Oryctolagus cuniculus: one gene and its partner. The protein of the gene in region 1 interacts with the protein of each later gene in a pairwise test. Links are inferred from orthologs where the notes say so. Each region holds a gene or a part of one and is shown in the gene's direction. Other genes may lie near its edges.

Region 1 (7,351 bases):
AAAGAAATTAAAGACTTCTTAATTAGTGCAGCAATTAAGCTTTCTTGGTAGCATTTTAATCAGCACAGGCCCTATCAAAGGACAAACAGAACGATTTGCAGGTCTTTGAATTTTAAACAGTCTTATTGATTTCAGCACAATACGTCTTCACAAAACACAGGGAGAATTTTCTAATATCAGTTACAGTACTTTGAGTTTTACTTATGCAAATTGAGTGAAGGTTGGGGAAGACTAGATGGAGAAAGAGGACCTGAAACAACCAGAGATGGAAAACAATAAACAAACAAGACAAAAGCTCTGAAAGCTAAAGATGCAACAGAGTGAGCATTTGAAATTTCTCTGAAATTGATTTATCTGTTATTGGTAAAAACTGTTTGCCTTAATCATGAGCAACATTTCTCAATGGGGTGGGGGAGAAGAAGAGAGATGGGAAGGGGGGGGAGAGAGAGCGAGAGCGAGAGAGAGAGAGAGAGAGAGAGAGAGAGAGAAAGAGAACCTTAACATCTTTCAAGGCTTTTCTTTCCTAGATATTTTAATTTGCATTATACGCTTTTTCTAATCCTATTGTTTGATCAAAGGGGTAAGTGGTGGTTCCTTGAAATGGTTTAGAGACCTGAATCCCAGAAAGCTCCCATTCAAGTAAGGTCAAATGCCCCCAAGCCCTGCTTCTGAGTGGAGCACGTGCTCCAAGATGCAGGTTTCCCTGCAGTAGAAAATTGAGAGTTGGCGTCGAAGCAGAGTGGAATTATGGCTTAGTCTGTTAGCATTGCTTCCTGTCTGTGGCTTCTGAATGTGATGGGTATTGGGTGAGTGATAGGTTAAGGAAATGTGAGAAGTGAGAATGGTAAGGGCAGATTTGGGGCATTTAATTCCCATTTTCTTTTTTTTTTTTTCATTTGTGGGTCTAGAATTGAAAATGATGATATTTTGTCTAGTGTTTTAAAATCAAGTCAGGATTTATGGAAGCTAGGCATGCATTTCCAAAATACAGTTAGCTTTTTCTGGGCTTAATACTTTCCTCTTACCTTCTCCCATACTGATTCGGCACTTCGTTTTAAAAGGTATCACTTTCTAAGACTTGCTTAAACACTTGAAGTGTTTTCATGTGTGTGATATACATTGAATCCCCACTTTTAGTTGTGGACAGATTTGAAGGCTGAAGAAAAGTTAGAAGTTATTTCTGATGATATTAAAATACATTGGCTAACTAGGCCAAACAATTGTGCAAACATGAGCTATCCTAAGTTTGTCTATTATTCAGCAGCAATTTTCTGAGCGGTACAACTCAAGAAAGCCTCCTAATAGAACTGCTGTGCCCCAGAAAGTATAGCGTAAACTTAGACTAATTAGCCAATAGTGTCATTTTTCTCTGTAGATAGTTCCTGCACCTTTTGACACTAAACATCAAAGACTTTACAGGATTAAAATGATAAAGAGAAACGTAATCATCATTTCAACACCCAAATGGCAGAAATTTTCATTATGAAATTTCCCAACACTGTGAACCTGCCACTAACAGTTTGTTTTTAAAAATCTGTCAGATGCTCCAGCATTGCTTCACATCTCGTGAAGTCACTGAACGTGTACAGACAGGTTCGAAGCCTAACTATTTTAAGATTCCTAGAGATATAAGCAGCAAACAGACTTGACCTCTGCTCAAATCCTATCTTGGTCAAGAATTCTGGAATAAATACTTCCATGCAACAAGTTAGAAGAGGGGACAGGAAGGAAAGGAGGAAGAGAGGCAGTCTAAACAGCCTAATGTTGTTTTTAAACATAGCCACCCTCTCTACTTTTGCAAGTCAACTGGTGTGCTTTCTTTTTGTTCTCATTATTTACACAACACATTTGCACTGACAAACAGAAAAGGACTTTTCCAAAATACAGTGGTGCTTTTCTAATATGAAAAAAATATAACTACTGTGTTATTGAAACGACACATTCGCACTGAGCAACCAGCCTTAATGTCTCTTAAAGGATACCAGCGCAGTCGGTTACTGTGCGAGACAGGTGAATTAATTACAGAGTTTGGGGTTAGAAAAATCAGTGTTCTTGTTTACCACTTTCTCAGTCTTCAAAAGTGCTGCGTTTCTGAGTTCTCTGGGCAAAACAGACGTTTCTGACCCGCTTTTGGGGGCGAAAAGTGAACTTATTGTAAATCTTCTACCTCGTGGCAAGAAATTTCTCTCCACAAACCTATTAGGCAATACGGAATCCAATACAGAGCAGCCCACGATCCTGAAGCCATTTCGGACCCACTTTGTTCCCACAACTTGGAAAAAACTCTCCTGGAATGGTCACTGTCTTCGGAGAAATAAATACTTTCCACAAGGAGATCAAAACAGTCGGATGCCCAAAAAAATACGACTCTTGGCTTCCGTGCGAGTCTTTTTCTCAGCGTAATTCCTTACTAATCACGGAGCGGGGCTGGCTTGTCGCTCCGGTCTCCTCGCCCAGACGCGCGGAGACGCGTCCTAAATCCTCGAAGGGGAACTCTGAGCGCTCTGGCTCCTCGCTAAGTTGCCTGGAAGCTTTGGGGAGGGGTGGTGTGTGTGGGTGTAGGTGTGGGGGTGTGTGAGGGGGGCAGGGCGAGTTGGGGCGGACCAGAGAGGGCAAGGGCTGTGCGCTGGCCGGGCCGGGGCCGCAGAGCGCTGTCCGGCGCCCCCGGCCGCCCCTGCCCGTCCCCCCGCGGTCGCTTCCCTCTGCCCCCTCCTCCTCTCCCTCGCACGCTCCCCTCTCCCTCTCCGTCTCGCGCGCTCCGCGAGTCTCCGCTGCGAGTTCCTGGTTGGATAATTTGGGTTAATACTAGTGAGTGAGGTTTTTGCGGCTTCAAAGGGTATTTCAAGTTTCCGGAGCTCCTCCCCTCTGCACCGTGTGACAACAACAACTCGTCCAGCCGGCAGCCTGCACTTTTCAGCTCATTTTCTCTCTGTCATTCCGCTCTCAATCTTTGATCAATGTACTTGCCGGGGAGAACCCGAGTCCCTCAGTCCTCCTCCTCTTCACCTTCACCCTTCCCTCTGTGCTAGAGCGGGACCCACACCTCGGCGGCCGGCCCTCCCCGCCCCCGCCCGTCCCCCCGCGGCCGGCCTCGCTGCCGGCCCCCGGAGAGCGCTCGCCGTTCGACTCGCGGGACACTTTGGTGCGCCTCTCGGCGGAGCGCCGCTCGCGCTCGCTGCTTCCCGCGTCTCGCTCCCTCGCTCCCTCGCCTGCTCGCCCGGAGTTGCAAGGGTCGCCGCCCCCACCCCCGCTCCCGCTCCCGCTCGTCTCCCCGTCCCCTCCCGGGGCTGTGTGGCAACTTTTCCCCCCTCGCTTCTCCTCCTTCCCTTTTCCCCCGTATATGTGACCATGGCAGTGCCGGCGGCTTTGATCCCTCCGACCCAGCTGGTCCCCCCTCAGCCCCCGATCTCCACGTCTGCTTCCTCCTCTGGCACCACAACCTCCACCTCCTCGGCGACCTCGTCTCCGGCTCCGTCCATCGGACCCCCGGCGCCCTCTGGGCCAACTCTGTTCCGGCCGGAGCCCATCGCTTCGGCGGCGGCGGCGGCGGCGGCCACAGTCACCTCTACCGGCGGTGGCGGCGGCGGCGGCGGCGGCAGCGGAGGCGGCGGTGGCAGCGGCGGCGGCAACGGAGGCGGCGGCGGCGGCGGCAACTGCAACCCCAGCCTGGCAGCCGCGAGCGGCGGCGGCAGCGGCGGCGGCGGCATTGGCGCTGGCGGCGGCGGCGCCTCCAGCACCCCCATCAACGCGAGCACCGGCAGCGGCAGCAGCAGCAGTAGCAGCAGCAGCAGCAGCAGCAGCAGCAGTAGCAGCAGCAGCAGCAGCAGCGGCAGCAGCTGCGGCCCCCTCCCCGGGAAACCCGTGTACTCAACCCCGTCCCCAGTGGAAAACACCCCCCAGAATAATGAGTGCAAAATGGTGGATCTGAGGGGGGCCAAAGTGGCTTCCTTCACCGTGGAGGGCTGCGAGCTGATCTGCCTGCCCCAGGCTTTCGACCTGTTCCTGAAGCACTTGGTGGGGGGCTTGCACACGGTCTACACCAAGCTGAAGCGGTTGGAGATCACGCCGGTGGTGTGCAATGTGGAACAGGTTCGCATCCTGAGGGGACTGGGCGCCATCCAGCCCGGAGTGAACCGCTGCAAACTCATCTCCAGGAAGGACTTCGAGACCCTCTACAATGACTGCACCAATGCCAGGTAAGGAGCGGGGGTGGCCCCTGAGGCCCGCGGCCCCTTCCCACCGGCCTCCTCGCCCTTCCCTCGCTCCCTTCCGGGCGCTGGCCGCCCCGCGCGCCCGCGAGCCGCGCGCCTCAGCGAGCGCGGGCCTCTCCTCCCCTTCCTCAGGGCTCTCCGGCAGCGGCCGACCCCCGGAGAAGTTGCCTCGACCTCGCTCTTCCGGCCGATAGGTTCCTGGCTAGCCCGGGGACCGGAGCTTAGCTGCTGTGGGACCGCGGGGACCCCAACCCTGAGGGTGGAGGGGGCGGGAAGGAGCAGGACAGTGCCTTTCCAGGAGCCACAGCCCCTTTCTTGGGGCTCCGGCGTCGGGGGACCCCCTGGACGCTGCTGCCCGCGGGTGCGAGCCTAGGGACCGGTGTTGCACGGCCCTGCTCCCTGCACCCACGGGGCTGCTCCACCGCACCCAGGGGCGTCCCGGGAGCGGGAAGAGCTCGTGACCCTGACCCGCAGGGTTTGGAGAGCGGGGAGACGCGCTCCGGGTGAGGGGCCCGTTGGGAAGCCGAGGGAGTGGGCCAGCAGTGCAGCAGGGGCACTTGGAGGTCAGAAGGGGGGTCGACCTCGAGGGAGAGAGGCCCGGCGCAGTCCCGGGGGACCCGCAGGGAGTTGAGCCCCGAAGCCCAGAGGTGGAAGCCCGCCGAGGGGAGGGGTCTGTGTGTGTGTGTGTGTGCGCATGTGTGCGTGTGTCCGCGTGTGAGGGTGCGTGTGCAAAGGAAAGAAAGGAGTGCGTTTGCCCCGGGGCAGATGCGAGAGCACCCGCAGATTTCCGTCTGTAAGGAGAGGTAGCCGGGTGCTGGAGACCTGGAAGCTGACCTGGAGACCGGAGGAAGATCCCGGGGCTCGCGCACACTCTCCCTTTTCTCTCCTTCTCTAAAGTGTGTGTGCGCGCGCGCTTGTGTGTTTTCAATTCTTTGTTTTCTTTTTTTCTTAAGGTTAGTAGCTCACGCAACGAGCAGGTGCACGCTTTGCACTAGGATGCTCTGCGGGCCTGACTTGTCTGGGCTGTGGCTTCCTCAGCCCCGCGCGGAGCGCGCAGGGTGGAGGCCGCGCGGCCGGTCCCCGGCCGGGCCAGTTTTATGCAAATGAACGCGCGGTGGGGGAGGATCCACCGAGAGGGGGCGGGAGAGGGGCAGCTTGTCCGTTTCGGGGTAGAGGCGACCGTTTCACCCCCTCTCACAGTTGCGCTTCGTCCCTATCATTCGTCTCAGGGAAGAGCAGGGGGAAAAGTTCTGATTCCGAGAGCAAGCACCTAGGGAAAGTTGGGGATCTGAAACGGGCACGTGGGAGCTCGGCGCTACATTTGCGCAGAAAACTTCGGTACCCTCCCACTAAGTTTGCAGAGTGAATGAGGGAGCGGGGTGGTGTGTGCATTCCTGGCAGAGCTGGGGAACTCAGGTGGGGAGGAAGGAGGTGTAGGGCGAGACCGGGACGCCTCGTGGGTGGGAGAGCCGCTGGTTATCTCTGCCTTGGAGAGACTGCTGAACAGCGGAGAAGGGTGTAAACCGAAAAGGACTCGAGTTCTAACCCAGCAAATGTCCTCTCCTGTCCTATCCAGAAATTCTGTTCCTCGTTTATTTGCCATTCTCTCCATAGGACATCATTGTGTGCCTGTTTTTTTTTTTTGGACATTCTTTTATTTTGGGATAGATGCTGTGTGTGTGTGTGTGTGTGTGTGTGTGTGTGGTGTGCATGCGTGCGAGCGTGTCCAAGGGAATGGACAGGTGGCAGTAGAGATGGAGCGGCAGGATCAAGATCTCTCACCATCATTTACTGGATAATTGGTGTCCTTGCTCGTCCAGATGATACACCATTGGCCTCCAATCTACTGTTGAAACATTTGAATCAGGGAAGAAAAGTATCCTGGAGTTGTTAGGAAAAATGCTAGGTGAAATTTGAAGTCCGCTCAGATAACGATTGTTCGAAAACTGTCTGCCTGTTCCGCAGATTGGTGAAGTGCTATGCTACTGTCATTAAGTAGACAGCCACTCCATTCCGAATCCTCTTTGTGTGCTTCCTACAGCACACACTGCTGTAGGTAATCAATGGCCATTTTACACACACAGACACACACACACAATTGCTCAAGAAAACATTTTCCAGTAATTGTATTCTAACCTATCCATAACTTGATCCTCTTTATTTACTGAAATTTCGCCCAGATTTTGAAGTCCTTGTCATATGGCTGAAGAATATACTTTAAGAGTTAGTAACCAAAAATTTTTTAAAAGTTTCCTCCCACCTCACCAGTTTAACAATAGCACTGGCGTCTTGCAGGGCCAAGATAAGTTAAATCCAGTGGAACTCTTTATCCTTTCAAAACTATCTCCTCTCTACTATAATTGTGTTTCAACCACCTGGCCTTGATACTTTGCAATTAAATGTGTTGTTCTAAAATCCTATTTCAGGTTGTTTTTAAGCTAAATGTTGACAGTTTGTTGATATTCTAGTGAATTTTGATCGTTTATCAACTAAAAAGCTTGCTCAACCTGAAATACCCACCAGTGTTGTTGCCATTAACATGAGGAGATGTGCAGTTGCAGATGCATACCTAGGTTATCCTAACTCTGCCACGGACTAAGGAAATAGAGAATTTATAATTGAACTTTCACCAAATTATACTGTTTGTATTGTAATGCATTATTATTTTCATGCTAATTACGAGTGTTATTGTCTTACTTCTTTACTTTAAAAATGGTATTAATGTTTTCCTTCCTGACTTTACTAAAGCTAAAATTACCTTCTACATCCCAGACTTCGCTTTTAAAATCCTCTTTAACTCATCTAGATATATTGATTTCTTTCACTTTGGTGCCTTTCTTCTCTAGCTACTTAATACAATAGGGGGATAATTTGTGCATAATATAAGAGGAACTACACAAGAAGGCAAACTGTAAAATATATATATTTTATGTGTGGGGGAGAGCAAGTGTATTGGCGCGCGCGCGCACGCCGTGTGAGTGTGTGTGTGTGTGTGTGTGTGAGAGAGAGAGAGAGAGAGAAAGAGAGAGAGAGAGATTGAGAAATCAAATCTTAGCACTCTCAGCTTGTTATAGAACGTATATCATTATGTCTCTTAATAGAATTTAGATACCAGGAACTCTGAGGAACCAAAATGATGC
Region 2 (7,603 bases), on another chromosome or scaffold:
AAAAAAAAAAAGAAAGCAACACTGAAAGATTAGAGAACACACATCTTCTTTCCAGGCCTTTTCTGGGCACAGAACTGCAATTTTGGGAAATGTGCCAGTTTACTTTTCTCTTCTAGTTTTATCTACAATGCATAAATATATACTGCATATATATATATGTATATATATATGTATATGTGAATGTGTAAGCATGGTTGAAATATATGTTAAGCTTTCAAACTTGGATACCTGGAGGACTTAAAATTCAGATAATAGAGCAGTAACCATAGACATTTTTGCTTTGCGTTTTGAGAGAGCTTTAGGAATCTGAGCACCAGGTGAACCTCACACATTTTCTTTAAAAAATAATAAACACTGTCATCATCTCTTTTATGCACTTGGCATTTTCCAGTTTTTAAAATGCTTACACATGCATATTCAGTTCTATGAGGTAGATGGGGATGATTATCCCCATTTTGAGGATAAAAAAGAGGCTCCCAGTTTAGCAATGATTTCCTCAAGGCCTCATTATACACCCTCATCTTGCCTGTTTCTCTGGGTACTCCCCTTAGCTGACCCCCTTCCTCCCCACCCTGCCCCCCACCCCCACCCCCACCCCTGTTTGGGCACTGAATTGCAAAAGACAGGGAGCTCCTGAAGCTAGCCAGCACTATCTGTCCCTGCCTTTCTCAAGAATGAGACAAATCTTCTGATAGCCAAGAAAGGAAAAAACTTTTATTTGTAGAATGTGAACATTTCCCTAATTGATAGTGTTACCAATAAGCGATTTTCCTGACCCCATTCCGGATTGTTGAAAATGGATTCAGCTTCACTGTTGGAGGAGAGGTGTATGTGTATTTTTGTAACCTGTCGTGTTGTGTATGTTAGACTCCCAAAGATAAGTTCACTGTCCTCATTTAGTCACACTGAACTGCTCCCTGCTGACAGTGGGGATTCCCCACTTTCTCAGGGTGTCTTGCACTTCCTGTTGTCCTCTGTTGCATGAGCCTGTATCTGCTAGCCCATTTTGCCCAGCTGATATTCTGGAAGGCCCTGGCCCTGAATCATAAGACAAAGTAGAACTGTTAGAGTTAATGTTTGGTTTAGATAACCTTGCTGACCTCAATCCTTATTAATCAAGTCAATCCTAGGCCCAAAGGGCTTGTGCTGGCATCTGCAGTTCCTGGCTTCCCTGCCTTCCCCAGTAGCTTCCTGTGTTTTTCTTGCATGCACCTGTCTGTGCTTGGAAACCATCCACTTAACGCTTTGGCACTGCCATGAGTGCCTAGAGCAGAGTCTGTGAGGGGGTTGGGATTGCGGGTATCTGGAGGGGGTGGAAGAGACAGCTAAGTCTAACCCAAGGCCACTCCCAGACCTTGCCTGGAATGAAAGGTGAGTACCCCTGCCAGTCCGTAATCTCTCAGGCTGCATTGAGTGTGGATGACTCCTCTGTTTCAGCTGCTGTCACAAACTCCTGGAAACCTGGTGGCACTCCACAGTCATTCCCTTAGCCCCTTCCATTAACCCCAGCTAGGGTTGCTCCTTGAGCCTTCTTTTAGGGACTGAGTAGGAATCTGGGTTGTAAGGAGAGGAAACTCTTTCCATGTTACACAATGAGCAGAATTGGGGGCTCAATAAGAGGGCCCTAGAGGCCGTTGTCACTTGGGCCAGCGACCACTTCCTTTCTTCCTAAACAGAGAATTCGCCGTGCTCCAGCTAATTGGTGAGAAGGCGCTTTGCCTCTTTCCCTAACTCCTTCTCCGCGCACCAGGGGCCTTGAACCCACCAGTGGTGTTTTTCTCTTCGGGGAGGGATCAGACGGAGCAGACCCGAGCTGCAGTTCCCTTGCTCTGCCTCTGAGAATTTCTCATCCAAACCTCAATCACGTAGGATTGCGTAGAGAGGAGAAAAGGGGAGAGACAGAAGACAGAGAAGGGGGAGAGGGGTGACCAGAGGGAATGGGGAGAAGGAGTCTGGGAGCAGAGGGCGCGAGGGAAGAGAGCCGGATCCCAATGCGCTGCGCTTCCCTGCACTCCGGGAGCCCAGCCTCCAGCTCAGCCCCACCTAGGCGCTCTCCCGATTTCCCGCGGGCGGGAGAGCAGTGCAGGGGCAACTCCGGCTGCGCCGACCTTTTGTCCCACCCGCCGTCTTGGTAGCTTGTGGCTCCCGCCTGGAGTTTCCTGCGAAGCTAGCTCTCCTGCCGAACTAGCCGGTGGGGCGACGGCGGCGGCGGCGGCGGCGGCGCCCGGGAGCCGGTGCGGCTCCGGGCGCACAGAGCCCCAGCCCATGAATGGGACTCCGCCCTGAGCGCCCCCTCCCGGATCTGGGGAGGCGACGGCGGCGGCGGCGGCGACGGCGGGGGGCGCCTTGTAAGCCGGCGGTTCTGAGCGGCCACCCGCGTAGCAAGTTGGGCGAGTTGGCGGCCGCCTGCACCTGCCTTCTGGCCGGGGCCCCAGAGTCAGCGCCCGCCCCTGAGGACCCTGGTGGCGCGCTCGGCAGCCTCCCGCCGTTGCCCTGGGCGGCCTAGGGGCCCAGCCTGCGCCCCGCGCACCTGACAATGGTGGGCAGCTCCGGACCGGAGCCGCAGCCGCCGAGAGCCGACGTCGCCCTCAGCCAGCCCCCGCCCCACCCCAGCAGCCGCGCGGGTGTTCGCAGCGCGCGGGTCACTTCCTTCCTCGGCCGGGATGGGCCGCGCGGGACTGAGTGATCGGCATCGCATCGGGCGGGTAATTCCCATCTGATCTCTGCTAGTGAGCTGCCGACTACCGGGGCGCGCGAGCCTGGGGGCCCGGGCAGCGCGGCGATGACCTGATCCCGAGCCCGCCACGGCGCCCCCTCCTTCCCACCCTCCCTCCCTCCCTGCTTCGCTCCCTCTGAGCCTGTGCGGAGACCTGCTTGGTGCGGCGCCCCGGGCGGACCATGGCGGGGAGCTCCAGTTAAAGGCGTGTGGGCGCCGAGCTGGAGAGGACACCTTCGGCATCGCTGCCTTGGAGGGGGCTCATTTAAACGACTGAGTCATTCCAGATTTAGGATTCCCTAAATAATCACCAACTGTGCCCGTCTCGTGCCGGAAAGCAAGCGGAAAGCGAAAGAGCGCCCGCTCCTGGGACCCCACGGATCGCCTGTCGCGCGCTTCTCCCCGAGGGTTGCTTGGCCCTCGAGGATCTCCCTCCTCCCCTTCCATCCCCCTCCTCGCCGCCCGCTCCCTTTGCAGTGCTACTGGCGGCGAGGCGCGCGCTCCTCCGCCGGCCACAGCTGCCCGCGTCCCGCGCCCCTCCCCAGACCCACTGGCCGCTCCCACTTGGCGCCTCTCGGGATTCCAGAGCTCGGGCGGCCGGCGCCGGAGCACCGCAGCCGGCGCGATGCATCCGGTAGACGGCCTCACCCCGCCGGGACGGACCTCCTAGTCTCCAGACCTGCGGGCCGCAGGGAGTTAAATTGCTGCCTTCCTCTCCTTCTCTCCTGCGGTTGGTGGCTTGTTTTCTAGAGGAACGCTTTATGCACTTTTTGGTATTTTCAACCAACCGGGGGCACGCTACCCGCCTCGGTCCAGACTCTGCTATGTAAAAGGGTTTCTTTCCTATATATGTGTAAATATACTTCGGACACCTTGCAACGCTTGCGCCTCTCCAACAGGGGCAGGGCTTGTCATTTTGGACATCCTTCTTCCCCTTCCACTTGCTACCCCGAACGCAGTGTGACCAAACTCCCCACTGCCCCTTGGACGTGGATCGCCGAGGGGCGCCAAGTTTGGGGTGCAAACGTCTACTTCGCAGGAAGGCCTGGGACCGCCCCGCCCCCGCCGCCAGCGGTCGGGGAAGTTTACATCTGGATTGTCACACCTTCTGTCGCCACTGCCCAGACTCTGACTAACCTTGTGGGCGCTGGGTTTTCGGTGCTGCGGCCTCCTCAAATATTAGCACTGCCTCCCCGCGCCTGCCCTGTCCCTCCCGGGCACCGAGGTCCTGCCCTCGCCCCGGCGGAGCGCGATCCCGAGGGCGCAGTGGAGTCCGGGCCTGGGGCCCGCGCTGAGCAGCTATGGCTGCTGCGATAGCAAGCTCCTTGATACGGCAGAAGCGGCAGGCAAGGGAGTCCAACAGCGACCGGGTGTCGGCCTCCAAACGCCGCTCCAGCCCCAGCAAAGACGGGCGCTCCCTGTGCGAGAGGCACGTCCTCGGGGTGTTCAGCAAAGTGCGCTTCTGCAGCGGCCGCAAGAGGCCAGTGAGGCGGAGACCAGGTCAGTAGAAGCCCGGACAGTGGGCTCCCCGGAGGCAGACACCCCTCTCTTCCCCCTTCCTCACTGCGACTACAGCTGCCCATGGCAGGGAACCAGGGGGATCCCTCTTGCATTCTGACCCTTCTTCCCTCATTTCCAGACAGCTTTCTTTGAACCATCCTTTGCCAGTTAATAGTTTCTTGTCCCAAATTCATTTAAAAAAGAAAAGAAAAGAAAAAACACTTTGTGCTTTGATCAATCTGTGGTTTGACCAGGGTGAGAGAGAGTTCCTGTGCAGAGGCACCTAATCTCAAATAGCTTGCACCCTCGAGGACACTGACCATCTCATCTCATTCATTCATTCCTTCATTGTCTGTCTCTCAACTCTCCCTCTCTCTTTCCCATCCATCTATCATGCATCTATCCATCCATCCATTTATCCATAGGATACTTGTGCTGCCCTGAGGACCAAAAGACCATGTGTCTGATAACAGTGCAGGGTAGACACTTGTCAGACTCCAGATGAACTTAAATGTATTGTCTGTCTAACTCTTCCACCAGCAACACATGGTGCTGCATCGTTCAGGCATTCCAGTTAATTTCTCACCTCTGTTTTCTCACATGATCTTTCACTGCCTTTTACCTCGTGCCTTTATTCCCATTCTCTTGCCACCACTGCTTGCCAGCTCCTCTGTCCTGTTACCATCTTCTCTGTACTTCCCTTTCCTTTGGAGACTTTCAGGGAACAAGATGGTATTTGAAGTTTGACCTCAGCAGGTGTAAAGGGAACTTCAGACTTAGCAGGGATTTTGATGGCCTGGCCATTTCTGAAGCTGATTTTCTTCAGTGGCCTTAAAATTGGTTGCTCTTTGTGCAAAGGGTCATTGGATGCCTTGGCTTTCACTGTGATAATTCCCAGCCTAAAAGAATGAAGGCAGAATTGCCAAGATCTGTGATTCTTCTGGCTATTGATCCTCTGGGAGTGGCTGCAGGGTCATTTGCAATCTGCAGATACTTTCCATTTACTGTGGACACCTGGAAGGAAACACTGTCTAGAAAGCAAGTCTGTTCTGTGATCAGTCAATGCATTTAAGTTACTCAGTTTGCTGCTGGGTGTCCTGGGCTCCAGGAATGAGGCACTAGGACTAGGTTCATTGGGGCTGAGGAAAGCACAGTGGGAAGTCTGGGCAAGAGAGATTCTGGATCAGCTTAGAAATTTGGGAATAAGCGTTGTGAAGAAACCAATTTCTTGTTTCAGTTTCCATTGGGTTTTTGTAGCCTTTTTTCAGCCCTCAGTGGGGGTCATTTTCTAATTCTGTGAAGATATAAAGTAGTGTATTTTAGGGGTAAACAAAAATAAGTATGATTTCAAGAGGGAAGCTAGTAAAGTCTCTGTCATTTTACATCTAATTAATATAGACTTTTTATAAAAGTAGGATTTATGCAAAAAATATAGTTGTCTCTGCACAGTCAATCCTTCATGTTAGGGGAAATAAAATCCCTTGTTTTGCTGCACAGGGATCATTTGGAGGACTTCTCTCAGGGCTTGTGTGGCCCGCAAGGAACTTCAAGGCTGTGAACTCAGTATGACTTTTCGCCTCAGTCCCTTGGAGTATTTTCTGGTTCTTTGGTTGGGATAATTGTACCATGTTTAGGGGTAATTTTACCATGTTTATGAGTTGCTCCTATTCAACTTCCTCAGCCAGAAAGAAAGTAATAGGAATGATGGGCAAGTTACGTTTGTAAATGGATCAAATGCGTTCACCCAGTCTTTTTGATGAAGTTGATTTGGAGATGAGCAGTTTGCAGGGCTTACTTTGGCCTGGGAAGGAAGGAATTATATTCACTGTTTCCTCTGGCATTTTGCTTTGTATCTCAGTAGAAAATTGAGAAATTGAGGGAATTTCTGAGTCTATTGTTTCCTTCAGTGTTCATTTAATCTGCTTCTCTGCTTCTGTTTTTCATCCATTTAGTGTTCATCTTGGCTGGGAGACTCCTGGCTGGTGACTTCATTTAGCTAGAATGTCACGGTAACAATTTGGCAGAGATATCACACGACCTGTAAAGACATTCCCAGTGCAGAGACACCATGCCTGTACCTGTATACCACAGACTAAAGCTTGTTCTGAAGCTTAGCTTAGGAGAATGGGAGTGTGGGGTACAGAAGAGCTTTCTGGGAAGATGGCAGTATGCTATTACCGTTACTAACAAAGCCAAATAATTAATCTGTTGATTTGCTGTCAGCAACTGCGATTCACATAGCATGAGATGAGCCTATTTATAGAGAGATAGCACCATCTATGTCTTAATTCCAGAGAGGTTTCTTCAGCTGGATTTGGAGGAAGTTACTAAATACCAAAAGGAAAAACTGTTCAAGAGAATCTGTTTTATACAGGCACTTTGATGTTCACTTAATATTTGAGTTATTCCTGAAGCCACGAGCCTTTCTAAGTCATATGGTTAGGAACTGAAAACTGTGTCACAAGTGTGGACTAGTGAAATGCAGTAAATTGTCCTGATAAAGAGCTCCCACTCTGGGTTCCTACCATGGAGACACATGTTCCATTGACCAGGCTTTCTAGAGAGCGAGCTGAACCAGGGAGGCTAAGTCAGGTACTCAATGGGGAATGCCAGGATTGTAGTTCTCATTTCTGGGCTGTCGCATTTCCTCTTGAATTTTTTTTTTTCCTTTGCTCGCCGAGTTCTGATATGTATAAAGTTGAAATTTTACAGACAGTGGATATCCTGTGTTTACAATCATGGTAACACAGAATGAAACCATGGAAACTGGTAGGACCTATACCACACAGTTCTAGGGTCAGCGTGCACATTGGATGGTTTATGAATGCCATGTCTGGAGTATAAAGTGGTGGTGTACCCTGGGGTTTTGCTGCACAAACCTTGCTAATACAGATGAGAAATCCTAGCGCCTTAGCAACATTGTGGTTTATGTGAGGAAATACAGGGAGACTGTGGCAGAATTAAGACTCTAACCAGAATCTGTTGGTTTTCTGTCTGCACTCTTTGCAATATGACATAGAAAAAAGTGGTGTGAAGAAAAACTGGATGTCATCTGTGTAAGCATGGGAATAGATTTTAGGAATGTGTGAGTGTTTACCATTTGGGGTTGATATTACTATTGTGTCATTATTATTTTATAATCAGAACAGAAATAGTGTAGAATAGAGAAGATAACTTGTAGAAGATGGCACAGGCAGTCCAGAAATAGTTAGCCCCTTAGGCACTGTGTGGGCTGTAGCTCTTTGGAAATGAAGCACTGGAGACCCTGAAATGGCAAGTTGGCTGAGGTGCTCTTTCTATTAAACGAAGGATCATTCTTGTGCTTATTATTTGAGTCATTTTTTATGTGTGAAATATCTATATGAACCAGGCCAGAACAGTTGCTTG

What was found. The genes of interacting proteins can lie anywhere in the genome.
Region 2: the proteins of DACH1 (region 1) and FGF12 interact in binary tests that used the Homo sapiens proteins (3 or more experiments, as listed by UniProt). The two-hybrid records come from large-scale screens. The link is inferred for Oryctolagus cuniculus from reciprocal best matches to the Homo sapiens genes DACH1 and FGF12.

Annotation. Positions count from the first base shown.
Region 1 is NC_091440.1:40,949,201-40,956,551, forward strand, and holds the start of DACH1 (dachshund homolog 1), read left to right. Parts: upstream 1-3,208; 5' UTR 3,209-3,348; coding exon 3,349-4,196; intron 4,197-7,351. UniProt on the Homo sapiens protein: Transcription factor that is involved in regulation of organogenesis. Seems to be a regulator of SIX1, SIX6 and probably SIX5.
Region 2 is NC_091435.1:87,005,066-87,012,668, forward strand, and holds the start of FGF12 (fibroblast growth factor 12), read left to right. Parts: upstream 1-2,734; 5' UTR 2,735-4,017; coding exon 4,018-4,216; intron 4,217-7,603. UniProt on the Homo sapiens protein: Involved in nervous system development and function. Involved in the positive regulation of voltage-gated sodium channel activity. Promotes neuronal excitability by elevating the voltage dependence of neuronal sodium channel SCN8A fast inactivation.